Linked DNA regions of Drosophila melanogaster. The protein of the gene in region 1 interacts with the protein of each later gene in a pairwise test. Each region holds a gene or a part of one and is shown on either strand. Other genes may lie near its edges.

Region 1 (5,586 bases):
TGAGCTGGAAAAGGCCGCTGGCTGGCTTAGGGAGCACGAACAGGAGGCGGAACTGGAGGAGAACCTAGAGCCGGATAAGTTCGAGCTGCCGTATGGTTCGGTATTGATTTACCTTACTGCCACCCTGTTGATTGGTTTCCTGTGCAACGTGCTGCCCCTGCAGCAATATTTCCTAGAGATTCCTATGGGCGCCGCACCACTGACCACCTCAGTACTGAGTTTTCTTTCTCTGATCGGTTTCGTTCTGCCCTTTGTGGTGGTTTTGCCGCCCGGAGGATTGGAGCTGCTGCATGTGGCCTTTCTGCTAATCTATGGCTGCGCTTTAATAGTCATCGGGCTCCTCAACTTTGCCCTGGGCTTATTTGCGGCCGTGCTGACTGTACCGCTGGTCATCGCGCTGGAGACCAAGGAGGAGAACTCGCGCAGCACGCTGAGGAACACGATCCGCTTGGCCACGCTGGTCATGAATCCCATGATGGTCGTTTATGTGATCGTGCTGGCCATGACATTCTACCAGTTCCCGGAGCTGCCGGTGCAGAAGATCATGCTGAGGGCGGCCACCGCGGCCATGGATGCCTCGGCTTATGGACTTATCGATTCCGTGGTAAGTTAAGATTTCAGTTGCCACTACTAACATACATAGATAATAAACTAAAATACTTTCCTATTGCAGATTTATGGCAACTGGCTGTACTTTGTCATCTGCACGATTTTCCTGCCGCTGTGGATCATCTGCTGGACCTTGTCGCTGTCCAAGCGACGCGACTACGCAGATTACCTGGACTTCGATGAGTCGCCATCAACGTCGCCGCAGCCGCAGTCAAAGGTGAAAACGAATTGAGGAGACGAACAGCACGGATTGCCATTCACTGGCTACATATATCAACTGGAAATGATCCTAAGATGAAGTGTGATAAACCCAACAAAACTGTGTGTGATGGCGGTAAGAGATTGCACATGCAGAGAAAATTCCATTTAAATGTTATGCATTTGATTAAATGTCTAAATAAAAGAAGCCTATTTATTAGTTGGAATAACTAAGTGTAAATGTAATCCAAAAAATATTAAATATACCACGGCATTTTCGATGTTGATTCCCAGTTAACTTATCATTTTAAATTACTTAAGTGGTTAACTTTATCAGTAGCTTCTTGTGATTTATGGATTTTCCATTATATTTGCAACTTTGTTTGCACGTAAAGCAGTAATGCATATATTTCCCATCCGTTGGTTATTATTTCTTTTGTCAATCCTCCGTCTTCGCTGGCGTTATTGGCCAGTGGAGGACAGGAGTTTCTCCGTGGAGTAGTGCTCAGTGGAGCACGTGCCTCTTTGAATAAGTGGAAAACTTTTCGACTATGACACGCAACTTAATTTAAACTTTGCACCGCTGCCAGCGCCATCGTCGTCGCTGCTGGCAATTAGTTATGAGCCAGGATTTGGCTCAATCAGAGGCATGGATGCATGGTGTCCTCGAAGCTGGGAGCCCTGCACTTGCCGCACCGTGTTTACCGGCGCCATTCAATCTGCAACTTAACAAGAAAACTTTCCTCACACAACCATTCAAAGGCAGACACAAAGTTGCGGCGGCACAGTGGTACTTTCACTCGAAATGTAGAAATGAGAAATTTTCGAATATCTTTTTATTAAATGGATAGATAGATTGTAAGATGAGTTCGGTCAAATCACTGAGCTGTATCACTGTATAAATCAGTTAACAAATATATATACTTTTTCAAGTAGTAGTTAATTAATCCTCGCAGTTCTAGTCTAATCGCAGCTTTTCAATATTTCTATGGGCCATCGTTAAAACAGCAGAGCACACAAGTGATTTTAGAGTTGTGTATCTTTATTCAAATACTATTCAAGGCTGGCCTGCGCTAGATGGCCATCTCCTGCACCTGATCCTCTTGGCTTAAAGAACCCATCGCCCTTCGCAACCATTGGCAAATCGAATTGGACGAGATAGGTAGCATCTCGTCCTGAGAGTCAGCCATATCGGTTTGGGTGCCCTTGCCGGTGCCCTTGCCTGGATTCCGATCCAGATACAGACCCTCTTTGGACTCCAGCTCCGTCTGTCGCTCCGCGTGGCGTTCCAAAGAGCGTTGACATCGGCTCCAGAGATCCTGGACATCCTGGCTCTCGCAGTCCGACTGAATGGCCTCTATCAGATATCTCATGGATCGCCCACTGTACTCCATCTCCAGGCTGCGGATCATTTCCGCATCGCTCTGCAACTGACACTGGATCGCCACCTGGCGTTCGAGTGCCTTGGCATCGAATAGCATTTGATCCAACAGTGCATCCGTCTCGGCGATCTCGATCCGAAGCAGATCGGCCATGTCCATGGCCGAACTAAGTTCCCCAGGTTTTGGGCAACGCGGCGAGGGTGGCGGTGGTGGTGGCGTCACCGGGATACGGGCCGTCTTACACTGGACGACACGTGGGGTCCTCAGATGCGTATCGGTCTTGCGCATTTTGAAAGCCTTGGGCGCAGGTCGTGGTGCTAGGCTACTGGGCCTACGCTTCGGGAAAGACCTTGCCGAGCTGGTCGCTGTGGTGGTGGGGTGTGCGGTATCACTCCTAGTCGTGAGCAACTCTGGCACTGCCTTCTCCAGAGATGCCTCCAGAGATGTATAGCCATTCACGCTGTTCAAATGGAGGCGACGGGCCTGGTGCACCAAATTGACGATAGCGCGATCCAAAGCCAAACTCCGGGCACTCACGGACTCCGCCGCGTCATTCAGATGTTCTGTGCTCATTCCAAAGCAGGTTTAGTGGAAAATTTTGATAATATTAATATATATATATGGCTATACTGTGAAGATGTAGTGTATATAAGATTTGGTACTACCGACCGAACCGTAGAGCAAACGTGTTGTGTGTGTCCCTGTCAAATTAGGTGAAATGAAGTGTTGCCAGTTGGAGACGGGCCTACTGGTTTCGGAAAACTCCAACTCCAAGATTACAAGTTTACAAAGGTTTTTTTCTCTGAGTGTATGAATGTGTCGCAAAGTATGCAGTTCGAAGAATATTTATATATGGTTAGAAATCTTTATACACAGCCCACTGTTGGCCAAAACGTTCGCATTATCCTTCGACTGAAGGATAAAGGGATGCGGAGAGTTCGTGATTGCGGGGGGGCGGGGGTGTTTTAAAATTGGCAAGTTGATGTCACATAATTGCCCCTCGAGCGCTCATCTTAATTATTGTGCTCGCTGACTTCCTGTTGCCCGACTTAATTCCCCGTTAAAGCCAACAACACACTCCCTGCGGTCGGGTTCGCCCCCCCACCCCCCACCATCCCACTCCAACGACCACTCTTTTGCCGGTTCCCTCTGCCGCCCATGGACTTACTGAGTGCGTCGCTGCTGCGTGTGGAAATAATTAAAATTGTTCGAAGAACGAGAGGTGTTGCACTTTGCATGTCGGCGAAAGGGGGATTGATGTGCAACATATATGTACATATGTATGAGTATGTGCATTATCGTGTCGGTTGGACAGAACAGCCATGCATTCATCGCGGATGTAAGGATAATGGAACCTACTTGAACGGCCCTTTAAAAAATTTATTGCTTTAACTATTAATCGTTTCATAAATTGAACCTTGAATGAGATCTGTAAATAAAATCCATTGCCAAACTGAGTTTATCCATTTGTAGAGCGACTTCAATTTTAGTTTCGCTGTTTTTTGCGGATTTTTTTTCAACGCTTCCGTGCTGCTTCTGTTTTAATGAAAAGTGAAAAGTGGGAAAACAAGTCCGGAATAGAGGAATACCAATCGAGAGCTTTCAATTTGCTCGACCATTGTTCTGCCTTTGTTTGCTTTTGGATTCGGATTCGGTTTCTTGTTTTTTTTTTTTTTTTTACCCGGGCTTTACTTTCGAAAAGAATTGAAACTTTGACAGTTATTTGTGTGCTTTGTCCGCCCCCTCGAAACAATGCACAAGCGGCGTCAATCCGCCCGACCTATATAGTCCTCCCCCCCCCCCCCCTAAACCACCACAACGAGGAGTCACGTGGCACTCCATTTTTTTGGAATGCCAACGATGAGTACGAAAAACTGGGCAGGTGAAATGGAAAACAAACGCATAGAAAGACAGGTACGAGAAAAAAGCATCCAAAAGACTATAGACATACACTGAGATCTTAGACGGAAAATGGAAAAAAATTATTTTGCAAAAATTAAACAACTTTAGATGAGCATTGTTATCATAACTTGACTAAAAGTGATCAGAAAGCAAAAAGAATAACTGTTTTGAGCAGCTAATAACGAAGGCTAACCATCCCTATCACTTTTTGACCGATTTAGGAAAATTAATTTTTGGACCAATTTTCGCATTTTCGGTAAGGGGTAACATCATCAAAATTTACAAAAAATGGCTAAAAAATGGAATTCCCATTTTTGGACACAGTTCGATTGGGAATTTAAATACGAACTCAACGTGATATGACATTCCGTATTCAGACAATTATTTTTAAAGTTGTGGCCAAAAAACTGACTATTTTATGACGGAAAATCGAAAAAAATGATTTTGGCAAAAATTAAACAACTTTAGATGAGCGTTTTCATCATAACTTGACTAAAAATGATCATAAAACCAAAGAAATAACTGTTTTGAGCAGCTAATAACGAAGGCTAACCATCTGTATCACTTTTGGACCAATTTAGAAAAAATAATTTTTGAGTCATTTTTCGCATTTTCGGAAGGGGTAACATCATCAAAATTTACAAAAAATGGCTAAAAAATAGAATTCCCATTTTTGGACACAGTTCGATTGGGAATTTAAATACAAACTTAACGAGGTATAACAATCCATATTTGAATGATTCTGTCAATTGTTACGAGAATAATTGTGTTATTTTCTAGGCGTAAAATTGGAAAATGATTTTTGGTACAAAATGGGATTATTTGCTTTCATTGGCATTGTAAAACAAAATTCGTAGAGCAACTATTTTGATTGAAACAAATGATCTCTAGATTTTTGCGAGTGCAAACCGAAAGAAGTGAACAAATAACGAAATAATATTGCATGCGAATAAAAATGCCGTCAAAACTGCCAATTTCTCTCAATTTGTAAAGTTTGTCGAATTCGGTATTTGTTTTTCTACTTTCCAACCCACTGATATGTTTTGTGTGTGCAGATTTCCGTGGCGCTCCAAAGTTTTCAACTACCAGTAGTTGGGGGATTGGGGATTTTTTATTCCAGTATTCCAGGCTGTCTTGAAAATTTAATTTCGCCCCGCTTCTACTTAGACTTTTACAATACTTTGATGCTGCTCTTAATCAAAGTTTGCCCAGCGACAATAAAACTTGCGATTTTATTTACAAACAATCAGAGCCTACGATGGGTCCTTCGAAAAGGGGGAAAACAAAGCCTTGTCCCACAAAGAGAGCGAGAAAATTGGGGAAAGTGGAGAAAGCTGAGCAAGTCGGCGGCCGTTGGATGAATGACAAACGAAATGAGACTCGAGTAGGCAAACTAGAAATGAATGGAGTGCATGAGGGAATTTGCCAAATTGAGCGAAAAGGGCCAGATACTTCAAATGGGATTTACAGTGCATACTGCGTAAGTATGCCATCA
Region 2 (4,795 bases), on another chromosome or scaffold:
AATGGAAATATTCCCAGAAGAGCTTCGACTGCCAGGTAGCGTGTCAATTAAATGGTCATAAACAAGAGTGACGCCGTTCGACAGACAAAAATTTAAATAAAAATTGGAAAATGAAAAGTCAACACGCTCGACTCAACAGCGGAAACGAAAGCGAGCCCATGTCTCACTATCGATGAGCATCGATGTCTGCGTATACGTAATTTTTCAGTTGACATTCGTTTCCTGACTTTTTCTCAACTATTTATAGCCGAAGTCTGCTTTGTTGGGTAACTTCACTTGTGGTGGCTGCCGGTCTTCTTTATTGTCACCCAGCCATTTGCAGCCATTATTTAAATGGCCCAAATGAAAGAGGAGCAGCTGCGTCTGCGAAAGCCTCCGTTTTGGGCGACGGGCTGTGGATGATATCCCATTTCGAGGAACTCCCGAAAAGGTCGGGACCATATCGTTAGACTCAACTTTAAGTCCCAGCTGCCTAAGGATACTCAAAAATGGCATCCAATTGGCTTTAGATTGGGATTATGAATATAATAGCAAACGATTTGCCTGATGGCTTATAGATGGCAAAACTTTATTCCAAACAGTGATTGCAGTCTAAAGATATTATTAACTATTTTGTAGTTGTTTGTAGAGCAACAAAAAAATTCGGATGTATTTTAATGCAATATGGCTAGCTTTTTACGAATAAAAGAAATAATTTACATGAAATTGTAAAGCAGGTTTATAAATACTAGCACGCACCAATTAATAATAAATGTTTTTTATATGTTTCCTTTGTCTCATCCAATCGTGCACAGAAAATAAATCAGGAAACTTTGGTGACGAACGCCAGTATTCGCAAACTATCCAACATATATTGCACTAAAATGCATGTTTTTCTTGTTTTATCTTATATACATTTTGACTGTATGAGGCCAAACTCAGATTAGGATTTAAAGTACACCTACCTCCTCCCTGGAGGACTTAAGATCGGATGAGTAAATGGATTTGGATTACAAACGCTTCACATCTTGTCTCTGTGTATTCTGATATCCGCTTTCATCCGGACCGAGTGTGGCCCACTTCAAGCGAGTGGCATGCAAATAGGATCGGACCCAGAACGCCCTATTCTTGGCCTGCTCTTTTGGGTCTGGGCCCAGTTCCTTATCTGCCGCGCCCATCTGGGCCTGCCACTCGACGCCGACGTTGTCTAGAGTTGGATTCCCGGAGCGGGGTGCTCGGATGCAGTAGGAATAGGAGTAGGACTGGGCGTCTGGGTAGGAATGGTGCAGGATGAAGCCGGCTGCATGTCTGCAGCGTTTGGCTTAACAAGTGATAAACTTGTCGCTTGTCCGCTCCAAGTCCTTGGACATTTTATTATTCCCGCCTCTGCAGCGAGTGCCCTGTGGAAGCCATTACCCCATTCTCCATTCTCCATTCTCCAGTCACCAGCCCCCAGTCGCCAGCCTCCATTTCGATTCCCCAAGACCCCAACTTGCAACAAGACGCTGCAAATAGTTAAGTACAAATTGCATGGCTAATTTGAGCTGTTGCATAAGGCTTAAGAGCTCTCACGCACACAGACCCCACTTCACATCGTGTTGACAAGTTGACCGTAGAATTAGACGGAGAAGGTGTGAAGTGACAGAAGATTTGGCATGAGTAATGACCGTTGCGAGCTGTGCCCATGAAGTAGGCAGGTTTATTAGCAACTGTCGGAAAATAATTTCCACAAGCACTGAAAATTTGCGGGTTGCTTCCATATAATTCAGAACAGTACCGAGAGTCAAGGAACTCAAGTCCGCCCAGAGTTAACGGCTTAAACAAGACTACAATGTGTACTACCTGGAATTGGTAAATGGCTTCACATGGCCAAATGTACACTTACAAATATAACGTAATTCTACCCTTTTATCCATGCAAACTCAAATTAGCTCACAATATAAACTTTCTATCCCAAAAACTTTTTCGCGACAAAAATTGTCAGAGAGCAGTAGAAAATGAAACAAATAAAACGGAAAACTAAGTAGCTACATTTTGGTTCATACTAACGGAAATTCTGTTTAGAATGTAATCCCGAAAAATGTGTTCACAAAGTGAAGGGAAAAGTTGGTGTGGAGTTATATAGTTATATAGATATAGTTTTGGATTAGTATAAACTTGCAGATGGTCAGAAATGTATCTGATTAAAATCAAAACACAATTTAAAGTACCTGTTAAGCAAGGTAAAGCGAAAAAGTAGCTTGAATATTTATTTTGATTTCTTATATCTACTCCAATTTTAAAACCACATATGTATCTATTAGCGTATCTATTATTTCCAGCTCCTTGAGCGCGCTAATGCGATAAGTATACACGGCAACCACTGGGCCACAATTAACGCAGTTCGAAATAGTTTCACAAATAAAGACAACTAGCACTGATTCCCACACTTAAGTTTCCGTTGTACCCATAACCCAATTCGAGACTTAAGCCCCACTAATTATGATTTATTCCACATGTGGCCAACACCCCCGACCTCAGACCCAAAAAAAAAGCCCATTGAGGCAATTGAAACTCACCAAATGCAAGTGTTTGTTTAGACTTATTTACAGCAGCATTTGTATGCAGCTCGGGAGCGACTTTAACTTCATTTTAATGGTTATATTCACCGACATCGGCCGCTCGTTCGGACTCGGATTGTTGATGTTGTTTTACCTGTTACCGTTCTACAAACGATACGAGCACACAAACACAATCACTGCACTTTGGGGAAGATTTTCCAGAAATATTTTTACAAAACTCCGCGGTACTTTGGCCAAACAATTGGGCTTAAACCAACACAAGCAAATGGGGTTTGTTGCGGCAGGCGAATTTCGACAAAATAATGCTTTACACCTTTACACAACGGACTAATTTAGCATTTGCCTAATGGGGCGCAATGAGGCTTTGTTTTCGATTGGTTTTTTCTCTTTTTTTTTTCAGTGGGCCTGGCCAAAAAATGAATTCAAAAATCGAGCGGGTCGGCAGCCGAACGCGTTGAAACTCGTTTTTAGACTGAGTGGTGAGCTTTATGTTCGCAGTTAGTTACCCGCGCGAAAGCATCGCGAGTTCGATTCGAACATGTTGCCTTGCCTCCGTTCAGTTTTTCTCCTTCCTAACCAGGTGAAAATATAATTTTTAACACAGGCGTATGAGTGATATTCAAATTCGATGTAAAATACTGAACTGTGTAAAGAAATCCTTATTTAAATATCTCATTAATAAGAAATATTTAATGGATATATTTCATTTAAAATTATTTAGCATTGTTCTTAATTCTCACGTCTTTTAGTTTCCAAGACATCCTGTTCTAAGACTCTCTGTCGAAAGATTTACACGGAACTAAATTTCCCTCTGTTATTAGTTTGCTATTTACATACCTAACAAAAACTTTCACATTTTTTAAATCGACAAAATTCATCATCACATGATATTATTAATACTTGATTTGATTTATAAATAATCAAAACATGGTCAATTCTAACCTCTATCATATTTGCATATCAGCTGTTCTAGAAGAGCTCACAACCTAACTATTCACAATTCCGAATCTGGTCACGAAAATGACCGCAGAGGCAGAAGCAAGGGTTCGAGAAGTAGGATTGTTGTTTATCTAATAAAAATAAGTTTAGCCAGAACTCAAAAGTAAAACTCTAAATCTCAATTTTAAGGGAATTGTTATTTTATACTTTAAGAAGAATTTAAGCCCAAGATTGTTGGACTCAAACACCAGCTTGTTCGAATCGAACTTCAACATGCCAGCCCAGAATCGAACATGCTGGCAGGTTGCAATCAAACTATCTATCTATCTAACATATATCTATCGGTTGATCTATCTATCTATCTATCTTTATATCTATCTGTATATCTATCTATCTGTCTATCTATCTATCTATTTATATATCTATCTATCTATATATATCTATCTATTTACCTATCTATCTATCCATCTATCTATCTATCTATCTACCTATCTATCTACCTATCTATCTATCTATCTATCTATCTTACCATCTATCTATCTATCTATCTACCTATCTATCTAACCATCTATATATCTATCTATATATCTATCTATCTATATTATATATTCATCATCCACTCGGCGAATAAAACAAACGACACTGAGCTGCAGTCACAAATGAACTTCGTTCTTCTACCGGCAAGATGCCGTAGAATATGGCCAGAAAATAAAACGGAGCGCGTCCAGTTGGACAAGCACTCACCTTGTTAAAACCGAATCCAAAACCCAGCTGCCTTTACCTGCCAGCCGTGCCGTTTTAAAGTCGCATGATTAAGCAATAAATTCACACCAGGGCAAGAAAACGCAAGGCTTCTAGTTGCAGTCGCAATACCGAAAGAAAAACTGTGCAACTAACTATTTGGCAACATTTTAGGTAAACAAGTAGAAGTGCATTTTCAGCCACAGTTTACTCAAAACTTGAGGACACTTACCAAATTATATTTCATTTGTATAGCATCGAGAAATTTTATATATAAAATTTTTACATCGATTGTATGCAGTTTTCAGGTGTATCTACTACTCCAACTTTGGCGAAGATTTCCTCAGGCTAACGGTGTTTTGTTATTTATAGTAAATGTTACCTTTTGCTCCACTGCTTTCGGCCAGGTTTTCTATTTGTATTTACAATTGATTTGCATTTGTGTAACACTGTTTCCTCCATCGAGGAGCGGAAGCCAGCATCGAAAGAGCGACGGAGAAAGGTGTAAATATTGTGATTATGGTTGAGATTGAGATGTAGGTAAATAATATGGCCATCGGTGTGGGTTCAACAGG

Evidence for each region. Proteins that work in one complex are often made in the same cells at the same time.
Region 2: the proteins of CG15764 (region 1) and CG43861 interact in a two-hybrid assay, tested with the Drosophila melanogaster proteins (one large-scale study listed by BioGRID).

The regions. Positions count from the first base shown.
Region 1 is NC_004354.4:5,866,358-5,871,943, reverse strand, and holds CG15764 (uncharacterized protein), read right to left. Parts: upstream 2,850-5,586; 5' UTR 2,763-2,849; coding exon 1,881-2,762; 3' UTR 1,678-1,880; downstream 1-1,677. Other genes in the region: GAA1 (glycosylphosphatidylinositol anchor attachment 1), read left to right, coding at 1-604, 674-841.
Region 2 is NT_033779.5:20,014,283-20,019,077, forward strand, and holds the start of CG43861 (uncharacterized protein), read right to left. Parts: upstream 3,001-4,795; 5' UTR 2,538-3,000; intron 1-2,537.